3 linked regions of the Drosophila melanogaster genome follow. The gene in region 1 interacts genetically with each later gene. Each region holds a gene or a part of one and is shown on either strand. Other genes may lie near its edges.

Region 1 (10,000 bases):
AAAAAACCAGGTTACTTCAATTCTTGCTGATGCTGTTTCATAATAAAAATTAGCCACATTGACTGAGCTGATCAAGAACTACCTTGAACTCTGGAATCACTGGGTAGATCCCAGTCGGAACAGACAGCTCCTTTTACTAATTTGTTATCAAAAAATGTGCTACTTATTTATACATTTCTGTGGCAGTTCATTTGAAAACATAAATAATGTGCTTTCTGCTCTGTCGACTGCGTTTGCCTGTAAACAAATTGCAGTCTAAGCTTGCGTAAACAAGAAAATAAATATTACTGCTTATATTAATTGTTCTTATATCTTCCATTAAAACAAATAACAAAAAGAATCTAAAGCTAAGTAAATGAGTTCATTTTAAATCTTTTTAAATCGTTGCCAAGACACATAAAATATTTATTATTACCTTTTTTTCAGTTATTTTAAATTTTTTGCTAACAAATTGGTTCACCCTTTTAACGATTTTCCGTGCTTAGTGAGCTGCCCTCTTAAATTTTTCATTCATTTTATGAAGCCAGACAAACAACAGTGAAACAGTAAAAACATGCGATATAAGATACCAAAAATTTGGGAATCTTTGTACTAATTGTTATCACATAATGAGCGTAATGTTCAGACTACTTCCTCAGTTACACTTCATATCTTCATATATAAAAAAAAGTGTTATTTCGCACACCTGTTTATGCTCAATTATCGCAACTGAATTAAGACCCAAGAATGCGGGTTCCGCTGTACTTAAGCAAATTATATAAAAAGATAAGCTATATCTCTCGGCATCTGTGCATCTGAGGTTGCTTACTATCTTAAACGTGTAAGGAAACCGTGAAGACAGTCAAGATTCTCCCGCCTGCGTAGCCAAAGATACTATGATTTCGGTAGCTCTGATTATCTTGTGCTTTTTTCCGTTCGTGCAAAATGAGTACTTTCGTCCTTCGTACCAAGTCCTTGTGCGCAAAAGGAATACTCAAGGAGATTTGATCGACGGCCATTGCTATGGCAATATCATTCAGAGTCGCTTGGTTTTAACATCAGCATCGTGTTTATTGAGTGATAACGATTTCGTAAATGGTAGGGAATTGTTAAATGCTGATGAGTTGGCGGTATCATTCAAAGGCGAAGATTTGAACGAGTTGATATACCTCGTTGGTGGCATAGACGTATATCCGCAGTTCAATTTCTCATCGTTGGACAATGATATAGCGATCCTAAGTCTCAGTACGCAACTTCCGCTTTCCGAGCGAAACGATATTGAATGGGTTTTAGTCGCTGACTATGATATTACCGATTTTCCATTGGAGGAGGGTGTGGAATCTTACGTAAAAACATATCCTTTTATGTGAAAAACGATTTTATTAATATTAAAATTACTACCACAGGTTTGGAAAAATGCGGATGGAGAAAACATATATCCCGGTTATGGTGTTATTCATGAAAGTAATTTAGTTGGAATCATTTCCTATGGCTTGCCATTGAAAAATAAACGGGAATCTAATCTTGAAGTTCGGCGCCCAAATAGGTTTACGCAATTAAATCCATATTTAAGTTGGATATATACAATAATACAGAATACAGAGATTGCGGACATTCAAAATAACAACTACAGTGTATCTCTACCTTATCGTCAAAGAAAAATCGCAGAAATAGGTAATGTAAACCGAAAGTTATTTGCTATATTTATTTTGTTGTCAAAAGTAGTTTATCGTTTGCGGATTAAGAGAAACAAATAGTTTCGTAGAAACTTTCCTCTGCTTTCCCGAGAAAGATTAACTGCATTTTGATAAGAATATTTCTATGATAAAACTAAAAAGATCCACTTTTAGCCGGAATTTTAAGGTCTAAAATTTATAACGCTTTTCTTTTGGGAAGAAGGGTTATCTTAACACATTTATCAAAAATCAAATAAATATCAAAGGTACTTTACTAAAATTTTTATAAATCCATCAGGAATTTTATTTTTCATTGTTATCTAATTACATATAATTAATTAGTACATTTTTAAATATTTTTCAGTGGAGGAATTCGTTGAGCCTGATGCGGTGTATTTTCCAGACCCAGCAAACCCCAGTAAGTCTAATTTATTCAGTTTTATTTTCTAAAATAACTTTAATTTGAATATTTAATTTCAGTTAAAGATGAGATTGAAACTGAGGTAGAAGATTTGACGGACTCAGAAACTGGTAAGAAAATGAATACGGCTGTTCTACTTCGTAATTACTTTTACAAAATTTTTAAATTTTTTTGTTTTTCCTTTGCTATACTTATTTACCGAGTAATTGTTTTTAGATGCTGTAAACGTGGAAAGCGTCTCAGAAGATTTTTTAAACACGGAGGACCCTTGTAAGTTAATTCATTGTTCTATTGATATTTAAATATTACATTGATTGTTTGAATAATATAGTTTTAATTAAAAACTACCTAAAATTTTGTTTATCTTTCAGTTAATGAAAACATTGAAAGTGAGAAGGAATTCCTAAAAAACCGAGCAAACACATCTAAGGCCAAAGGAGTTTGTGCATGGATATTCACATTTAATTTTCTTCTAGCGATAACTCGCACAATAAATTTCCATTTTTTTTAACTAAATTTTCAATTTATTTTTTGATCTTCAATAAGATCAGTTTCCATAACTTAAATGTATATTTTATCTGAAAAGTATCAAAAGAACTGCATTAAGATTCAAATTTTTAAAACATAAATTGTAAACAGCATCTGTATTGATTTGGTGTATAATAAATTGTTATCAGCTAACGCGAAAATAAAAATTATTTGGTCACAGTTTCCCACAATTTTCCAATCGTTCCAGTTCCGTTATCGATTGCGCAGTGAGAAACTAACTTCAAAAAAGGCGTGACACGTCGACGATAGAAAAATGTATCATCTCTAAGAATATTTTAGTGTCATCTCTAAACTAAAAATATAAATAAAAAAATATTTTAAAAACTACGCTGTATTTTGCCCACGCTTCTAAAACCCAGTAGATTTAACAGTTGGTTTAAAAATGGGGCAACTAACTTTCGAAGATGATTGCCTGATCCGCGAACTGGATAGGTACGATTAATGCCACCCGCTCGAATCTTGTTTAATAATATTTACGTTTCAGTCGATACTACGGCTTTTTGGATTTGTCCAATTCGAAAAATGCGGAATTAAGGAATCTCGTTCAGCAGACCATCACAAACTTACAAAACTACATTGCAAATGGTCAGGTTCACGAATCAAAGAACAGCAGTGATAATAAAAATGCTATACAAAAGTTTGAGCCATCAACTCAAGCAGGTGAACATATGGAAAACACATCTTCCCGAAACAATGACGACACCAAACCTTTCGAGCAAGATGCCAAGGAAAAGGTGTCCATCATTGAAGAAAAACACCAGGATGAACACTACGTTAACGCTCTTTGCAAACTTGGCCACCTGCATCTTCTTCTTGGCGAATACTCCGAAGGTAAATACATAAATCCAGATGCACATGTCCAGATACAATCAGTGCACTCTGCAAATGACATCTATAGGATATATAGGATGCTTGTAGTCCTCACAAATTCATATATTGTGAATATCTGGTTCTTTTACCTTACATAATGTGTCAGGTGGAACAATTGTTTCCAAACTCGGGAACATAGTTGTAGAATGCCGCATTAATGACACACTTTAACATTAAATACTGCTAAACTGCAGAGTACGACGCATAAATAACATAACACTTCAATCCATCACGAGAGATCCTGAAAGAATTGAGTTGTTTTTTAATATCTTATTCTTTTTGTAGCTTTATCAGCGTACCAAAAGTATTTAAGATTCCGAGAAAACAATTACTGGACAAATCATGCATTTATCTATGGAATAGGCGTTGCTTATTTTAAACTTCGGTGCTTTAAATGGTAAGTTTACTTATCTTTTTAATATTTTAACTGCTTAAATATATTTGTTGTATTTAAGAAATATCTTTATGCTACGTTCAAAAACAATTAAGTTATATTTAATAATTAAAACCCATTACATGCGATTTTGATATGAATCGTTTAAACGTAGATGCATGTGCAGTGGAAGCACATTTATTTATCAATTGTAATCATCGATGGCTCTTATCGATGTATACGTTTCGCTTTCATATCGTTCCCATTTAATCACGATATCGCGCCTGTCACATCCCTATTGTATTGATATTAAATTGTTTACTAAATAGATTCTACACGAAACAACACTGCCACTAATATTATATATATATTTGTAAACAATTCACAACGAATTAAAATTAAGACTGCCGAGATTTTTTCGAATAAAAAAAGTGCGTTTACTGGTTAGTTTTGAATCTTTTCATAGTTGTCTGGGTTCTAAAGAAAAAAAAAACAAATGGATGCTGTAAACATTAACACTTACAATAATAATAATTAAACCGATGTAATATTGCCAAAAATTAAAATGAATATATGTGTTTTCATTGTATTCCTTTGTTTGTTTTTGCAAATTCGCTGTTATAAAAATACATAAATTCTCGTTACATGCATGCATGTATGTACACGGTGCGTGTGTGTGCGTGTGTCTGTGTACAAAATGCAATGAGTGCCCCCCTTTAAGGTCGTTAGTTGAATTGCGGGGTAAAATGTGTTCTTTGTTTAATTTTATTAATTTCGAAAGCTAACATTTAGGCAGACCGCGTCCGACGCAAATAATCAATGATTCTCAGTGCAATTCTATCTGATAAAAAGCCATGAAACGGTCTGTCTCGTTTTTTTGAGTGCACGCAGACATGTCTGCCGACACGACGGCTGCAAGTTCTATTGTTATTTATAAACAAAACCTGCATTTTGCAGGCATATTTTAGGAGATTAACATTTAAGTTTACTGTTGTGCACTTATCATCGGAGTTCTAGTTTAATTAAGTATGTTACTTGAATTTGTTTGTTCAAATGGTTATTTGTATGTATGTATGTACATACGCGTGCATGTGTGTACGTGACTGCATGCACATAAGTATGTATGCACTTATGTAAACACCGCTCACTGTAAACAATTACTATAAATTAAATATAAAACAAAATTTAATAAATTAAAATAATACATTCAAGTTATAACAAATAATTCAGAACAACGAATAAAAAAATTAATTTACTTACTTTTTTCCAGGGCCATCAAATCGTTTCAGGAGCTTTTATACCTAAGTCCCAATTTTACATGTGCAAATGAAGTTCATTTGCGTCTAGGTCTTATGCTAAAACACTGCGGGGAGTTCCATATTGCCCTAAAACATTTACAATTGGCGCTGCTTTATACATATCCTTCGACCTTTTCGGAACTTCAGGGTAAGATCTATTGAATAATTATAAACTTTTGCATATAAGTTTCATGTGTAATTAAAACTGTGATCTGAAAAGGTTTTTCTGTTCTTCAGTTATTTACTTATCATCTTAAAATGTTATCTTATTATTGATATATAAACAACTTATATGCAAAAAGTCCTCATACATTGAATTATCAAGTAATACGATGAAGGCAAACTTCTATGATTCATTCAGAATTTAAATATTTTGCAGTACGTTCACCCCGTGTCTTAAACTTTATTCATTATTAATACTTTGCAGTCAAATTTCAAATCGCGCATTTGTACGAAGTTCAAAACAAGCACAAGGCGGCAAAGGATGGCTACGAATTTCTTCTAAATGAGAAAAACATCTCCTTGGAGCTCAAAGCAGATGTTTATCGACAATTAGGTAAGTTAAAAAGTTATATTTTAAGCTGGTAGAGACATAACTTTTTATTGAATCCTTATAGGATGGATGTACCATTGCGTAGAATGCCTAGGCGAAAAAAAGGAACGTGAAGCAAACGCATTAAATTTTCTACAAAAATCAATCGAAGCTGACCCAAAGAGTGGACAATCATTATATTTACTAGGAAGGTGTTACGCCGGCATCAATAAGGTTCATGATGCTTTCCTAGCATATCGCAACTCGGTGGAAAAAAGTGAGGGGAATGCTGATACTTGGTGCTCAATCGGGTAAAATAACAATGAATGTGTTTAGCTTGGCCCCTATCTTATTTGTATTCTACACATGCACTTCTAGCGTCTTATATCAGCAACAAAATCAACCCACGGATGCCCTTCAAGCCTACATATGTGCTGTGCAACTGGATAAAGACCATAAAGCCGCGTGGACCAACCTGGGTATACTTTATGAGAGCTGTGGTCAATTACGAGATGCCTATGCTTGCTACTTAAATGCAACCAAACAAATATCATTCCAGGTAAATTTATATATGCAATTGTAGCCATTTCCAATACCTAACACACTTGTTTTGCTTGAAGAAGTCTTCGTTAATTCGAAAAAAACAAGCAATACGTATGAAAAAGGACACAATTGGACTGTCGAAAGGCCTGTCTCAGAGAATCACTTTCCTGGAGGGCCAGCTCAGTCAAGCACCATTGCCAAGTATTACATCCAAGCGCCGCCAGCTGTGTTCAATCGAAGAAGCTTGGAACCTGCCAATATCATTAGAAATGAACTCTCGCCAACAACAAACAGCGCAGATGCTACCAAGACAGGTCACAAAGCAAAGTCCAGTACAGGTGAATTCCTTAATCCTAAACCAATCAGTGGGCAATCAACTAAATCATGTTTTTAAACAGGGACCGCCACCACCTTATCCGCATAGCCAACTCAGCCAAAGTCCCATACCTTCGAAACGTATTAAGGAAGATGGCACAAGCCAACAAGAAGTAACACAAAACAACAGTCAGACATCAGCGCAAAATCTAATAAGTAAGTGACCAATTTAAATAGTATATATCTTAAAGTATTAAATCACTTTTTAACACTCCAAACAGACATTTCGGAATCTTTAAACCAGCGCAACTTCAACGCCATGCCGGAGAGCAACAAAAGTTCGGAGCAAAGTGTTCTTGACACCTTCGACGACATCTCGAATGATATTTATAAACAGAATGAGAGCATCAAGCTCGAACGTTTGAGCCAGGATGCACTGAGTAACAATGAGGACTCGAGGCATGATTTTATTGGCGGTGACAACGCCGACATCTCGACCACGTTCAAAATACAAATGGACTCGAAGCAGTTGATGGTAGCTGTGAAGCTGCTGCCGATTGATGAACCGCCCGTGCACTGTACCATTTTGCAAGTGAATGCGCCGCCGCCATCTCCGCCCGATTGCCCACCGCAGAAACTGACGCGAGATCAACTCCTGCCTCCCACACCCTCTGTTCATTTAGAAAATAAGAAGCACGCGTTCAGCCCACAGTTGCAGGAGTTTTGCCTGAAACATCCGATTGCCGTTGTACGCGGCTTAGCGGGCGTCTTGAAGCTAGATCTCGGTCTCTTTTCGACCAAAACGTTGGTGGAAGCCAACCCGGACCATAGTGTTGAGGTTCGGACACAAGTGCACCAGTCTCCCGATGAAAATTGGGACACTTCGCAGGGTAAGCGCGTCTGGGCCTGCATTTCCCATCGGTCTCACACAACCATAGCCAAATATGCCCAATATCAGGCATCCAGTTTTCAAGACAGCTTGAAGGTAATGTTCGTTGGGTTGGTTCCTCTTTAACATGAATACAAGTTTACTTTATCGTGTAGCTTATTTTACCGCAGGATGAAAGCGATAAAGGTTTCCCCGGCTCGCAAGCAATGTCGGATTCAGACTCAAAGGACTCGGTATCCAATTCGAACATTGTTCTCAAACGTAAAAAACACAAAATAAACAGCAAAATGTTGAGGTAATAGAAACTCCAAACCATTTATGTCTGCATTACGAACTTTATGAACATAAATTAAATGCTTATTTCGCTTTTTTTTTTAGGTTCGGGACCAACGTGGACCTCTCCGATGAAAAGAAATGGAAACCACAATTAACAGAGCTACAAAAACTGCCAGCTTTTGCGCGAGTTATATCCGCTGCCAATATGCTATCACACGTGGGCCACGTCATTTTGGGCATGAACACCGTTCAGCTGTACATGAAGGTGCCCGGAAGTAGGACGCCTGGCCACCAAGAGAACAACAACTTCTGCTCAATCAACATCAACATCGGTCCTGGCGACTGTGAATGGTTTGCCGTCCCTGACGCCTACTGGGGCGGAGTTCACAATCTTTGCGAGAAGAACAACATTAGCTATCTGCACGGCTCGTGGTGGCCCGTCCTGGAGGATTTATACAAGGAGAATATACCAGTTTATAGATTTATACAAAAGCCCGGTGACTTGGTTTGGGTGAATGCCGGGTAAGCACTGAATATGAAAGGAAGGATGATGTATTAACAATCAAACCTACTTTCAGATGCGTCCATTGGGTTCAGTCGATCGGTTGGTGCAACAACATTGCGTGGAATGTTGGACCCTTGACTGCCCGTCAGTATTCTCTTGCCATCGAGCGATATGAGTGGAATAAAGTGCAGGCCTTCAAGAGCATTGTGCCGATGGTGCATTTAAGCTGGAATCTTGCAAGGAATATTAAAGTGTCTGATACCAAACTTTTCGAGCTGATAAAGTGAGTTAGCAAATGATAGGAATCACCATTATGCAGATACTATAGGGCATACATATGTAATTTGTAATTTTCAGAATGTGTTTGCTGCAAACGTTGAAAAACGTATTGCACATACAAGAGTATGTCAAATCGAAAGGTGTGGAAATACGTTTCAATGGACGCGGAAAGAACGAAGCATCCCATTACTGCGGACAATGCGAGGTATTTAGCGTAGTATTATTAACATATTTATACAGTTTCCAAAGGTGATATGAATGCAGTTTATTTAATCATTTGTGCACTCTTTGCAGGTTGAGGTTTTCAATGTGCTGTTCATCAAGGAGCAGGAGAAACGACATGTGGTCCACTGCCTATCGTGCGCGCTGAAGCTATCTCCGTCGCTCCAGGGAATCGTTTGCCTGGAGGAGTATCGTCTGTCTGAGCTGCAGCGCGTGTACGATTCGTTTACTTTACACAGAACCCAAGGACTAGCATACACTCAGTAGTTGTAATACGAGGAATCATTTTAAGTAATGCAGATTTAATATATGTATATTTTACAACGTACAATATACTCTCTATTGTTTTGATAAAACATAACGGTACGAATATATAGAGATGGGATTTTTCGAATAAAGCCATCAGAGCAGTTTTTTCGGCTATTATGTTTGATAGTCGAAAAAACTGGAGCCCACTTGAGTAGCGAAACTTACCTTATGATGACAATTTTATTATGACTTCAAATATTTAGACCCATCTTTTATAGTTTAATTTAAAAAAAAAAACTTTAAATTTATCCAAAGTTTAGAATGCGTTTTAATTATATATATGAATAAATTTAATTTATAATCTTTCGCAATGACACTGAAATTAAAATCCTTCTTTTTATTGAATTGGCTGTTATTACTTTAGTACCTAAATAAGTTACAGTGTAGAGAGCAACGATAACTGCTGTAAACACGATAAATCAATTGGTTGATATTGGTGTAGCCCTGTTTTTAGCCAGCCATGTTTCTGCGTATACTGTGTCCAACTATGAAATCCCAAAGTGAACTGGCCATTGTGCTCACTTGGTTGGCAGTGCTGGGGACGGCTCAAGATGATGCCGATTACTGCGCCGAGCTATCCACGCAGTCGCTGGCCAAAATTCTGGGACAGGCATTTAATCCGCGCTACATGAGCATCGATCCGCCGGGCGAGCCCGAGGAGAAGAGCTATCATCTGGGATACAAGCGATCGTCGTACGAGCTGCCCTTCTATGCGGACAGTGATGCGATTTCGGTTAGCCACTTTCCCGCCTGGGAGACCAACCACTTTGCGCTGGTAGAGAAGAAGAAGGAGGCACCGAGGAGCAAGAGTCTGCGCACGAGAAGCGCCTTCATGGATCGTGTGGGACATCCGAGAATCGATGGGTTCAAGCAGCGGCCGTGGGAGTGCTCGTCGAAGATCAACTGGATTGACTTAGGCTTAAATTACTTTCCACGCTATATCCGTTCGATCGAGTGTATTGCC
Region 2 (6,414 bases), on another chromosome or scaffold:
CACACTGCGCTGGACGGGCAAAGAGGCGTACAAAGGCACAATGGGAACTAATTTAAATTGAATTCGAACTCAGTGCTCGCGGCCAGTGGAAAAGTGGAAAATAGGGAAACTCAAACCGCAGCAGGGCAATAAGGCGAAACAGTCAGCGACGACGTTAAAATTAGCACTGAAACGCGCCGTGCGAATGCGCGCCTATGATTTCTTTACCCACTCTCACTGCTCCCAAGCGGAGGTGGCCTCTTTTCTAGCTAGATATAGCTATAAATATAGGTAAGATCACAAGAATATCGAAAAAAAGCATAAGATAATTCTTATCACCTCTTTCGCCGGATTTTTGAAGTAGGATCATCAGAGATAACTGCTTTATATGAAACAAAGCTAGTAAGACATTAAAAGGAAATCGCTCCTATGAGAGCGTTGACAACGTTAAACTTAAAGCAAATATAAACTATCACAATTGAACACCCTTTAAATTGTTATATATGTAAGTGATTTTTTTTGGTTTATTTATTTTATTTTGTTGTTTATTTGGTATAATTACTTTATAAGTAGAACTGTTCAAAAACAAGCCAAGTGAGCTCCTCTGTTTCCCCAAGTACTCTCACGCTCTTTTTTTGCTCTCTCCAGTTGGTGATGACCGTGGGGCCTGGCGCTCTCTTTTGAAGAAGATTTTTGTAAACAAAACCGCGACACGCATTGTTGCTGCTAATGTGATTGTTGTTGTTCTGATAAACGCTAATTTGCCTATTGATATTGATGTTAATGTGCCTTTGCTCACACAGTCGCGGCCAAGGAGATAACACTGCCCCTTAATACATAGATCGTTTCAATCTAAAATGGATGCAAATTTAACATTTGGGCATAGGAAAACGTATGGGTAGACAACGAATATTTTTGTTAAATGAATTGATCACTTTCGATAAGTGTGTAAATCATAAATTCCTGAACTTAAGCTATTGACGTAGTGGGTGTGTCATGTTTGTACTTTGGTAACTGCTTAACACACAGATTTATTTGCATCATAATCACTGTTGAAAGATTTCTACAGGTTATATACACAAAAAGAAAATCTATCATTTGAGGTAGAGCACTACGTAGAAGAATATTATATTTTATACAGATGGCATCGTTGTTTGTTAATTCAAAACTTTTAATACTTCTAATATACTACCATAACTCCTTGTACGTCCTGGCGAGGGTTCGGATGTCCTTCTCTTGAGTATTGTGTTGAATACACAGATAGTTCCTATGATTGCTCCAGTCCCTGATGCTGTGATGGTACATCACTTCCACAATGAGCAGTTCCTCGTAGAGCTCCTCCCAGACTATGCCTATTGTGCTGGCACACGTCTCCAAGAGCCAACGGAAGGAACAGGGGAACAACTGACGCAGTTCATGCTTGTCATGCCTCCGAATTCTTTTCATATAGCCGTGTAGAAGCCAGCAATCAAAATTTGACACTTGCAATAACAGCGTCTCAGGGCTTGGCGGCTCATCATTGATATCGCTCGCTACTTGGTCTGATGCTCTATCAGAACCTTCCGGATTCAAAATTTTTTCCAGATTGCGACGGGGCAGATCTAGAGGGATGTTTAATGGATCCATGGTCCCTTCCTCGAAGGTTTGCAGTGAGCTAAGGCTGTCAAGTGGTATCTCGTTATCGTTGAGTTTGAGAAGAAAGCTGGGCGTTTCGGTAACATCCCAAAACGGATTATTTATCTCAAGTTGCACACGCCTTGCGTCGCGCATTGTTATACGTTTCAAATATCGGGCTCCATAGGTTCCAGTGGGCTGTGTGAACCGAAAGTCCGGCCGTTTCTCCTTACGCTTTAGCTCGCTTATCCACGTCTCGGTTTTAATTTCAGTGTTGGCGCGGTATTCTCGACCGTCACCTCGGATTATTGTTAGTGGGCGGAATATGCCCACGTTTTGGATGTCCTCCTGGCAGGCAAGCTCCTCTACTCGTAGTTTAAGGCCATGTTGGGACAAATACTGCGACAGCTCGGTCGTTTCCAGCACAAAGGGATCCAGGTTGCGGGCCGAGTGATCCACTTTCATGTGGTCAGGAATTGTGATTTTCATTTTTGCACCATCAGACCGCGATACTTGGAGTAGGATTCTGTTGAAGTAGGAGTGAGCCGGAGTCAAGCTGGGCTGGAATTCAATGTGTTCCTTCTCCATACTTTCTTTGCTGGACTCGCCAAAATGGTCCTTCAGCATGGTTTCAATAATGTGTGTCAGGTTTTCATGCTGACGCTTCATTGCCGCAGATCCCTGCATCCAGCCAAAGGTTTCGCCTTGCTCCTTCTCTTTCCACTCCTTTGCCAGTATGTCGTCCACCTGACAACCAGTCCGGGTGGATACCCCGAAGCGACGGGCAAAACTTTGGTTGTAATGTGAGACAATCACTTTCCTCATCTCCACAAACTCCATCCACTCGGTAAAAACAAAAAGCAAGGGAGCCTCATCTCCGCCGACTTCCAGCAGTTTTTCATTGATTTTAGCGGCCGATTCAGATATATTCCGCTCCTTGAGATCGTCCAAGCCGAAGAGCAACTTCATGGCGTAGAGGATGTAGGCCATAGTCCTGGCCTCATAGCGCGGATACGGATGTACGGTCATGGCGTTAAAAAAAGTGGGCGGATGCAGGTCAAGCAGGCTATTCACGTACTTCAGTAGCCGAGGTGGCAGTGCCAACTCCAGAATATATCGCTCCGCTAGGGAGTGCAGGTTCGGTTTTTGATATTCAGACAAGTTTATGAATCGTGACATACACGCGATGTTTACACGCAGAAGCTGTGGAGAATATAAAGATAATTATTAGTTGTGTTCCTTTTTATTAATAGATATTTCTATTTTTCTATCGTTAGAAAATGATGGATTATAGTCACCTTGTTGGTAACCTTGTCTTTCATTTTGCTGAGCTCCATATCTTTGAGCAGTGCCTTGCCCTTGGCCGCCACATTTCCGGGCAGATAGTTAAGCATGCACCGCTTGGTCAAGTGCTCCTCATCAATGAAGCGCAGCAAGTCCGATAGCTGTATATCATCCTCCACCATATTAAGGGCTATGCCCAGCACCACATACAACTTGATAATATTCAGGCAGTAGATGTTACGATCAAAATTGTGGAGCTGCTTGACCCTCGGTCTCAAGCTGTGGCACGACATACTACCCTTGCTGTCGCGGCTATGCTTGTCCAGGTGCTTCAGCGGCATATGGCGCTTCAAGGACTTGCGTGCACGCATTGACCATTGCAGGTGGAGACTCTGCTCCCCTTCGGACTCTGAAGCTCCTCCGTGCGAGCGGTAGCCGGAGGCGTCTAGATTGCGCTGCAAAAGGAATGGGATCAAGGTGTTACAGTCGCATCTGAGTAAACATCACTAATGAATAGGCTAACTATGTCATTTATATAGCTTGTGGAGCTATAAAAGACGAACGTGTTCAAGTCAGCAGCAATTTGGTAAAGTGTGTCGTTGCAAATATGTCCATGCGTCTGGTTCTAATTGGCGTGGCCATCCTGGCATTGGCCTACGGACAACCTGTTCCCGGAGCTCCAGAAGTCACTGAAAGTAATTAGATAAACTAATCCTAACGCTTATTGTTCATCCAACATATTCGCCACAGATTCTAATCCAGTACAGGAGATAAATACAGCAAAACCCATGTATAATGACTACCAACGGACCCTTTTCCTGCTGCTGCCCCTGCTGTTTCCTAACCAATTCTATATACCGACTACCAGCGGCTAATAAACTACCTTAGTTCTGTTCCACAATCTGAACTTGGCGCGCTCGTCATTTGGGTCACCCGTTAGAGTGCTCTTCTTGCCCTTTATACCGACTACCAGCGGCTAATAAACTACCTTAGTTCTGTTCCACAATCTGAACTTGGCGCGCTCGTCATTTGGGTCACCCGTTAGAGTGCTCTTCTTGCCCTTTTTGCCTTTCTTGAATGTCTTATGGTTGTAGATGATGCGGGCATCTCTGAAAGAATTCGGAATTTAAAAATAAGAAATTTTAGGAGAATGCAAGAACCCACATGGGCAGCGCCCGCACATTCAGTTTAGGCAGTCCCGTCTTGTTGCTCTTGCTGAAGGCCACCTCCATGCTGTCCAAGTAAGCCGCCCACACTTGCAGGGTCATCAGTTTGAGCTCCGGCTTGGCGCCCATGTTGAGCAGCTCCTGGAGGAAGCCGCGCAGCACGTAGTTGTAGAATTCCCACGAGGTGATATCGTCCTCATCCTCCTTCTCCGTATCCTTCTTCTGTCGGATCGTCCTGGCTGTATATCGGCCTGCTGCCGTGTCATCAAAGTTATCCTCGGCGGTAATGTCCACTGCACGAATCTGATCCTTCTGTGTGCCACACTCTACGCAGTAGTAGAATCCCTCGCGCTCCTGGAAGGTGGTACCCTCGCACACATCGCAGTGCATGTTCTCCAGCTGCATCGTCTCGAGAACTTCCTCCATTTTTGGGACTTTCTCTTGACGGTATCAGATTTAAATTATATTATTAATCAAACTCGCGGTTGTACACAAATCGTGCATGTGATAGTGGTGGGGAATGATCTATGTTTACAACGATATCATCCGTTCTTCGATTGATTCGATATATCGTCCGTTTCTTCTATGAAAACGTACATCACTAGATTAAGGCGGCAAATAAAAGTTGGTTCAAAGTAACATATTTTTAGTCATGGTATTTTAATAAAATTTTATTTTTATATAAAATTTAGAGAGCGGTTTTTTTTTGAAAGTATATATTAAAATCTAATAAGCGTAAAGGGTATTTTTTATTGTTTTTTATGCCAACCTGTTAGATGCACTTGTACGTTAGCCATCACTGAACTCTAATCTCTCGTAACATTTCTGTTATCTTTTTGGTGTGACCATAAGCAGTAAGAATTGAATTATCCATGTCTTGACGCTTGATTTTTAAAAAAGTCGATTCGAAATATCGATAGGCAACGTAATTTTTTAGCGCTAATAAGAGGTGTTACCAGATTCGGAAAAGCATAAGAACGCGTTTTTCGTTTTCGTTGAATGGCCACTCTGTCCTTGTGTCCATGTACTTATGCATATGTATAGAGACTCGATTCAAAACAAAATCGGCTGGCGAACGTTAACGTCGTTGTCGGACGATTCGACTCGCGTCTCTCTAAGTTTGTTGTTCGTGCCAACCACCCCCGCCGGTACCCAAACGCCCCCTTTTCGCGCGAGTGTTTTTATGGTTTTGCTGAATGAAAAGGCTCGACGAATGCGCTTATTGAGTGCCCACTGTGTCGGGTATGGCAGTGAGTCCTACAGAATGCTCTCGCTGCACGGACAGTTCATGAGAATTTGACATTTAAGTGCGAGTTTGTTCCTCCTTTTGCGGCTAACTGCAGTTTGTAGTTTGCTGTAGTTTTATGCACATTTTTTTGGCGTGGGCTGAGATTGGGACACACCCACCCGAAAACAAAAACAAAAAGTAGTCCAAAGGCCCCAATAATTGAGTGTCTCTGTGTGTGCGTATGTACGTGTGTGTGCGAGTTGTTTATGTGTGCGAGTGAGAGGAAAGGGATTCGAATCGAGCCGGTTTTCGCGAGTTAATTGACAAAGCAAACGGCGGAAAAGCAGCAAACATAAGCAAACCAAAGAGGAAAATAAACAAAGAATTTTAAGTGCAGATATGGGTGTTCGAAGTCAAGTGATAATTAAACAAAAATCACACTAATCCTGACAATGAAAAGGATCACCGCTACAATGCTGAGTACTCTATAATATCCACGGCGATATTCCACCCCGAAGTAAAACACCATGGCCAAAACGCCCCCGCTCCGCCCCCACGGTAACATGGCCAAATTCCTGGCAGCCCTCGGCATCTGCTCTTGGCTCCTCGTTTCGGCCACCGCTCACAACTGCCAACACCAGCATCCAAAGGCCCACGAGGTGAGTTGCGTTCGTTTGGCTCCAAAAATGAAGGGATTGGATTGAATTGGATTGGACTCTATGGTATTGGGTTGAATTGGCCTTCTTCTCTTACTCCGCCCTTTCTTGCAAATAAAACAAATAATATCCGGGAAAGGGCTATTTTGGGAACACGGAATCTTTAAGTGCTCACCCGCACACGTGTGCCAAATATTTACAATCCCAACTACATTAATATTAGTCTTTTTTTTTTTAGTCTTGCAACTAGCTAAGATTTTTCATGCTAGATAGCTAGATTACAAGATAGTATAAGGTATGAAGATGGTTTGGTAATTTCAAAAGAAAGAGTCCTTAAAGTTTAAATCAGCTGGAAAATCGCAACTTCGGAAATTTCAATGCTCGAGTTTCTTGTTTGTTTCTGCTTCGGCCATTTGGGCAGATTGTCCTTCGTGCTCATTAGAGAAATTTCATAATTGGTGCAAACTGTGCTCGTCGAAAATTTATA
Region 3 (5,558 bases), on another chromosome or scaffold:
TATTGAAATGTCGCTTGGTGTATTTGGCAGCGATGGGTAACGCCATTAACGAAACACATAAAGCTTAACAATTGATTTCTTTTCTTTTTGTTTTTTTGTACAAAGGAGCTTCTATAATTAAACAAAATGTGTAGGGGAGAAATAAGAGGTACTTTAAAAATACGCTTACAAAGCGAGGGTGTCCGAATCAACATGTAGGAAAAAAGAAAAGGGTAAGGGAACTAGCAATTAACTAAATAAACGTCCTGGAAGCTGGCCGGTGCTCATGTACTGTTGTTGTTACTTTGCCGCGGCTTGAGTATCAGCTTCCCCGTGTCGTCACAGCTCATATTAAAGTCTCCCAGTACCATTCGCGTTCTCGATGTAATTATTTGCGGAGCTATGACTAGTTTCTGTATGCCCAGGATGAACAGGACGACTGCGGAGAGAAATGATAAGGTTTACAAAATCAGTAAGTCAGTTTCAAACCAAAAAAATTAGATTAGATTAAATGGAAGTGTTTGTTAGCTGAAAATTCTTAATCAGTTGGACTATCAATATTGATATATACAAATCGAATTTGATAAAGCGAAGAGCTTTGACAAGATTAAAGGCAACCTAATGTTGCTAAAATTTGGAGAATGTACTTATGTAGTTTGCATAGATGTGATAGATATAAGGAGTGTATTCTACTCAAAATAACAGTAGAAATACCTAAAAATTTGAAATTCTTGATTTTGATCCTTTCTTTTTACCGAGTAGCCTGAGATAACCTGATATATAGTATCGACTTGCTCTACGATATGATTATATGGATTTAAATAGCATGGTATGGCTTGGTATTAAAATTATTCTCCATACTAGGTAGAATATCCGAGGTTCAATGACCGCCGCTGTTGACTACAAAAAGTGACCTATGTACGGAGTACAGTAGTGGCTACACCGATTCTTACCCAATGTTAGGGTGGCGACTGTGAAGACGGGATGAATCCAGAGGGACTCCGTTAGCGGTACAACGGTGGTGCGCGGATCGCGTAGCCAGTACCAGGCGCTGATGGCGGTGCACATGGACATGGCGGAAAGGACAACTGCAAGAAGCTCTATGGTTATTACGGATTGTAATGCTCCCTGGTGTTCTCATTATACGGATGCAACTTACTGCGCCAGCGGAACGTCGAGGGACGGTACGATGAAACCACTTCGGTGAGGCGCCGCTCGAAGGCCTTGAGATCTGCAGAGGAGCGAGGAAAACAAACCCAGTTATGGTTGGTAAACATAGTCAGTGGCTTGCGCGTTTTCCGGCTCTCTTTTGCCGGCGAGTTACATACCTTCGCAGGCTGACGGTTCCATTGCAGCTATTTCCTCAAAGCTCGTGGCCGTCTTAATGCGATTAAATTTGTCCAGTTTAAATATTATTGTATTTATTATTATTATTTGATGAGGTTCTCATAGCTTTCTTTTCCTCTTTTTATGTTTTTGATGACATTCCACGTTTGAGAGCACTGATAACGGGCTGCGTTTCTCAACACTACACAAAGCAGGGTCGTACCAAAGAGGGGCTCTTTGTTTATTTCCTACTTTCAGTACAAAATGGTTGTATAGCTAATTTAAAGTGAGTATTATATTTATGTATTATTTATATTATATTTATATTATTTTAATACAAAAATATCATAGTTTTTATTATAATATAAATATAATTAATGGCTTACCGGACAAATTAAGTACCCACTAAATGGTCTTCTACATACACCCATGTGTCTAAGTTATTCTTCCTGCAGTACAACGGTCACACTGCGGCAGCTGTTGCAAAAAAAGGCGGATAATATTTGTAGCAAAATCAGTGTTTTTTATACGTAAAATCAACAAATATAAAGTCCCTCGAAGGCATTATGAATAGCACTAAAGTGCCGCCCGAGTGGAAGAGGCGTGTCAAGTCGGAGTACATCAAAATCAGGCAGCAGAAGCGCTACAAACGTGCCGACGAGATCAAGGAGGCGTGGATAAGAAACTGGTAAGCGCGGGAGAGATGGTGGATGTCTGGGAATCGAAAATCTATGTACACATATCCTCCAGGGACGAGCACAACCACAATGTACAGGATCTGTACTGCGAGTCGAAGGTTTGGCAGGCTAAACCCTACGATCCGCCGCATGTGGACTGTGTGAAGCGGGCGGAGGTGACTAGCTACAATGGCATTCCCAGCGGTCCGCAAAAGGTGCCCATTTGCGTGATCAACGCGGTCACTCCCATACCCACCATGTACACGTGGGCACCAACACAGCAGAACTTCATGGTGGAGGATGAGACGGTGCTGCACAATATACCCTATATGGGCGACGAGGTCCTCGATAAGGATGGCAAGTTCATAGAGGAACTGATCAAAAACTACGATGGCAAGGTTCACGGCGACAAGGATCCCTCGTTCATGGACGATGCCATCTTCGTAGAACTGGTGCACGCCCTTATGCGCTCCTACAGCAAGGAACTGGAGGAAGCCGCTCCGGGTACAGCGACTGCCATTAAAACAGAGACGTTGGCGAAATCAAAACAGGGCGAAGATGATGGGGTAGTTGATGTTGACGCAGATGGTGAATCTCCCATGAAGCTTGAGAAAACCGACAGCAAAGGGGATCTGACTGAAGTTGAGAAGAAGGAAACTGAAGAACCGCTGGAGACTGAAGATGCGGATGTTAAGCCCGATGTGGAAGAAGTCAAGGACAAGCTGCCCTTCCCTGCGCCCATTATTTTTCAGGCCATCAGCGCTAACTTTCCAGACAAGGGCACCGCGCAAGAGCTCAAAGAAAAGTATGTAATTTGATAACCAGGTTAGTAAATATCCCTTCTTACGGCTTTTTCTTTTTGCTAGGTACATTGAGCTTACGGAGCACCAGGATCCGGAGCGCCCACAGGAGTGCACACCCAACATTGACGGCATCAAGGCCGAGAGCGTTTCCCGGGAAAGGACTATGCACTCCTTTCACACGCTCTTCTGTCGTCGTTGCTTCAAATACGACTGCTTCCTGCACCGTAAGTTAAACGATGGGAACTGCTGCCAGCTGGGTTACCTAATGACTTTACGTTTTGTTTTTGCTTTTCTTTTCTTGTTTGGAAACAATATTATCTTACCAAAAAACACAAATCTGTACCATTTCTTAAACCCCCAAAAAAAAAAACGAAATTCCAAAATGTATTGAATTAATTGCAATTTAGGTCACCATGTGCAGGGTGAGTCGTTGTTGTAGTTGTTGTTTCGATAACCACACGCACACACTCTCATGCCGTTTGCCCGTCAACGCCTCCGCATCCTCATCTCGCTGTCTATGAATATAATTTTTATAATAACCCATATCGGTGGATAATTTGGCTATGTTTGTCATGTGTCTAAATTGACCCCTCGGTGTTGCTCACCTCATTTTCGTGTGGCTTTGGCTGGACCATTTCTCTCTATCTCTTCAAATGTAACCGATTACCCTCATGCTAATCCAAAAGCGTTTCATAGACATCAAGTGATTTTCGCCCGATTGAGTTATTCTAATCCCGCTGCTCTGTGTTCACAGGCTTGCAAGGACATGCGGGTCCCAATCTCCAGAAGCGTCGCTATCCGGAACTGAAGCCTTTCGCCGAACCTTGCAGCAACTCCTGCTACATGTTGATCGTAAGTTGGATGCACTTTATAAATTTAAATGGTATTTTAATTCTGTTATATGCTGCAGGATGGCATGAAGGAAAAGCTGGCGGCCGATAGCAAGACACCTCCCATTGATTCCTGCAATGAGGCCAGCTCCGAGGACAGTAATGACAGCAACAGTCAGTTTAGCAACAAGGACTTTAATCATGAGAATAGCAAGGATAATGGCCTGACTGTAAATAGCGCCGCTGTGGCTGAGATCAACTCCATTATGGGTCAGTTTTAAGTTAGCAGATTGGTTGGACCATGTGTTAAATATTTCACTTTTTCTCACCAGCTGGCATGATGAACATCACCAGTACGCAGTGCGTTTGGACAGGCGCTGACCAAGCACTTTATCGGGTCTTGCATAAAGTGTATTTAAAGAACTACTGCGCGATTGCGCACAACATGCTGACCAAGACCTGTCGTCAGGTGTACGAGTTTGCCCAGAAGGAGGATGCTGAGTTTAGCTTCGAGGATTTGCGACAGGACTTCACACCTCCGCGCAAGAAGAAGAAGAAGCAACGTCTGTGGTCGCTGCACTGTCGTAAGATTCAGCTAAAGAAGGACTCATCCTCGAATCACGTGTACAACTACACGCCCTGCGACCATCCCGGACATCCATGCGACATGAACTGCTCCTGCATTCAGACACAAAACTTCTGCGAAAAGTTCTGCAACTGCAGCAGCGATTGCCAGAATCGTTTCCCCGGCTGTCGCTGCAAGGCTCAGTGCAATACGAAGCAGTGTCCTTGCTATCTGGCAGTGCGCGAGTGTGATCCCGATCTGTGCCAGGCCTGCGGAGCGGATCAGTTTAAGCTGACCAAGATCACGTGCAAGAACGTGTGCGTGCAGCGAGGACTGCGTAAGAAACCTTCTTATATATCCATATTGGTCTTCGCCACTGTCAACTAATTTAATCTTCAATTGCAGACAAGCACCTGCTCATGGCTCCGTCTGACATCGCCGGCTGGGGCATCTTTCTTAAGGAGGGTGCGCAAAAGAATGAGTTCATTTCGGAATATTGTGGCGAGATCATATCCCAAGATGAAGCCGATCGCCGTGGCAAGGTTTACGACAAGTACATGTGCTCATTTCTTTTCAATCTGAACAACGATTTTGTTGTGGATGCCACTCGGAAGGGCAACAAGATTCGGTTTGCCAATCATTCCATTAATCCCAATTGCTATGCCAAGGTTATGATGGTCACCGGCGATCATCGCATCGGCATCTTTGCCAAGCGGGCCATTCAGCCCGGCGAAGAGCTATTCTTTGACTACAGATACGGACCCACGGAGCAGCTGAAGTTCGTGGGCATAGAGCGTGAAATGGAAATTGTTTGATAACGAGTCTACTTATGAAAATCGTATCATACAAATTGAATAAAACTATATTTTTGAAAACACACCTAAACGGATTTAGCTACATTGGCTATAATTGGTTTGGGTCGCGATTTGAAGATTAATTTTTTGGTGCAAACGGCGCGCACAGTGTACTCCGTTCTTTGGCGACTCTTGTGCTCCTGGGCGATCGTATGATCCAGCACTGTGCGCTCCGCTCCCGTGGTGGCGTTCAGCATACTGACATCCTGCGAGGCCATGCTCGTTTCTAGGAGTCGTTCTCCCTCATTGGTCTTGGACTTTTCCAGCACCGCAAATGGTTTATCCAACTTTTGTTCACGTCCCTGAAGAATGTGATGTCCAATGATGAGAATCTTATGATATAAGTAAAATCAGATTGTTTAAGAGCTGGTTAAATTATAACTTTACAATTACAACTCACAGGTTGGCCATATTTATTGTAGTAGAGATCGCCAATAAACTGGCCGTGCATATCCTGGTTGCTCCGCACCTCCAGGTCGCCTTGCAGCTCTATAATGGCCCAATCGCCTTTGCCAGCGTTTTGT

Evidence for each region.
Region 2: of Utx (region 1) and TAF1B, changing one enhances a phenotype caused by changing the other (phenotypic enhancement), as found in Drosophila melanogaster (one study listed by BioGRID).
Region 3: of Utx (region 1) and E(z), changing one suppresses a phenotype caused by changing the other (phenotypic suppression), as found in Drosophila melanogaster (one study listed by BioGRID).

The regions. Positions count from the first base shown.
Region 1 is NT_033779.5:10,271,706-10,281,705, reverse strand, and holds Utx (Utx histone demethylase), read left to right. Parts: upstream 1-2,894; 5' UTR 2,895-3,007; coding exon 3,008-3,057; intron 3,058-3,109; coding exon 3,110-3,456; intron 3,457-3,780; coding exon 3,781-3,892; intron 3,893-4,154; exon of another isoform or gene 4,155-4,311; intron 4,312-4,544; exon of another isoform or gene 4,545-4,894; intron 4,895-5,138; coding exon 5,139-5,314; intron 5,315-5,593; coding exon 5,594-5,722; intron 5,723-5,783; coding exon 5,784-6,009; intron 6,010-6,076; coding exon 6,077-6,257; intron 6,258-6,318; coding exon 6,319-6,579; intron 6,580-6,639; coding exon 6,640-6,772; intron 6,773-6,837; coding exon 6,838-7,541; intron 7,542-7,600; coding exon 7,601-7,740; intron 7,741-7,823; coding exon 7,824-8,243; intron 8,244-8,299; coding exon 8,300-8,509; intron 8,510-8,583; coding exon 8,584-8,710; intron 8,711-8,799; coding exon 8,800-8,994; 3' UTR 8,995-9,079; downstream 9,080-10,000. Other genes in the region: CG34043 (uncharacterized protein), read left to right, coding at 876-1,325, 1,386-1,653, 2,020-2,073, 2,136-2,186, 2,293-2,346, 2,448-2,587; trk (trunk), read left to right, coding at 9,497-10,000.
Region 2 is NT_033777.3:10,139,603-10,146,016, forward strand, and holds TAF1B (TATA box-binding protein-associated factor RNA polymerase I subunit B), read right to left. Parts: upstream 4,583-6,414; 5' UTR 4,470-4,582; coding exon 4,042-4,469; intron 3,987-4,041; coding exon 3,866-3,986; exon of another isoform or gene 3,753-3,865; coding exon of another isoform or gene 3,628-3,752; intron 3,573-3,627; coding exon of another isoform or gene 3,485-3,572; exon of another isoform or gene 3,468-3,484; intron 3,333-3,467; coding exon 2,892-3,332; intron 2,797-2,891; coding exon 1,168-2,796; 3' UTR 501-1,167; downstream 1-500. Other genes in the region: CG42759 (uncharacterized protein), read left to right, coding at 3,485-3,572, 3,628-3,752; invadolysin, read left to right, coding at 5,799-5,930. UniProt on the Drosophila melanogaster protein: Component of RNA polymerase I core factor complex that acts as a GTF2B/TFIIB-like factor and plays a key role in multiple steps during transcription initiation such as pre-initiation complex (PIC) assembly and postpolymerase recruitment events in polymerase I (Pol I) transcription.
Region 3 is NT_037436.4:10,634,075-10,639,632, reverse strand, and holds E(z) (enhancer of zeste), read left to right. Parts: upstream 1-1,753; 5' UTR 1,754-1,871; coding exon 1,872-1,993; intron 1,994-2,055; coding exon 2,056-2,787; intron 2,788-2,848; coding exon 2,849-3,009; intron 3,010-3,192; coding exon 3,193-3,207; intron 3,208-3,539; coding exon 3,540-3,637; intron 3,638-3,695; coding exon 3,696-3,885; intron 3,886-3,947; coding exon 3,948-4,517; intron 4,518-4,585; coding exon 4,586-4,995; 3' UTR 4,996-5,058; downstream 5,059-5,558. Other genes in the region: Cnep1r2 (CTD nuclear envelope phosphatase 1 regulatory subunit 2), read right to left, coding at 264-418, 933-1,079, 1,139-1,210, 1,308-1,329; CG34001 (uncharacterized protein), read right to left, coding at 5,061-5,366, 5,435-5,558. UniProt on the Drosophila melanogaster protein: Polycomb group (PcG) protein. Catalytic subunit of the Esc/E(z) complex, which methylates 'Lys-9' and 'Lys-27' of histone H3, leading to transcriptional repression of the affected target gene.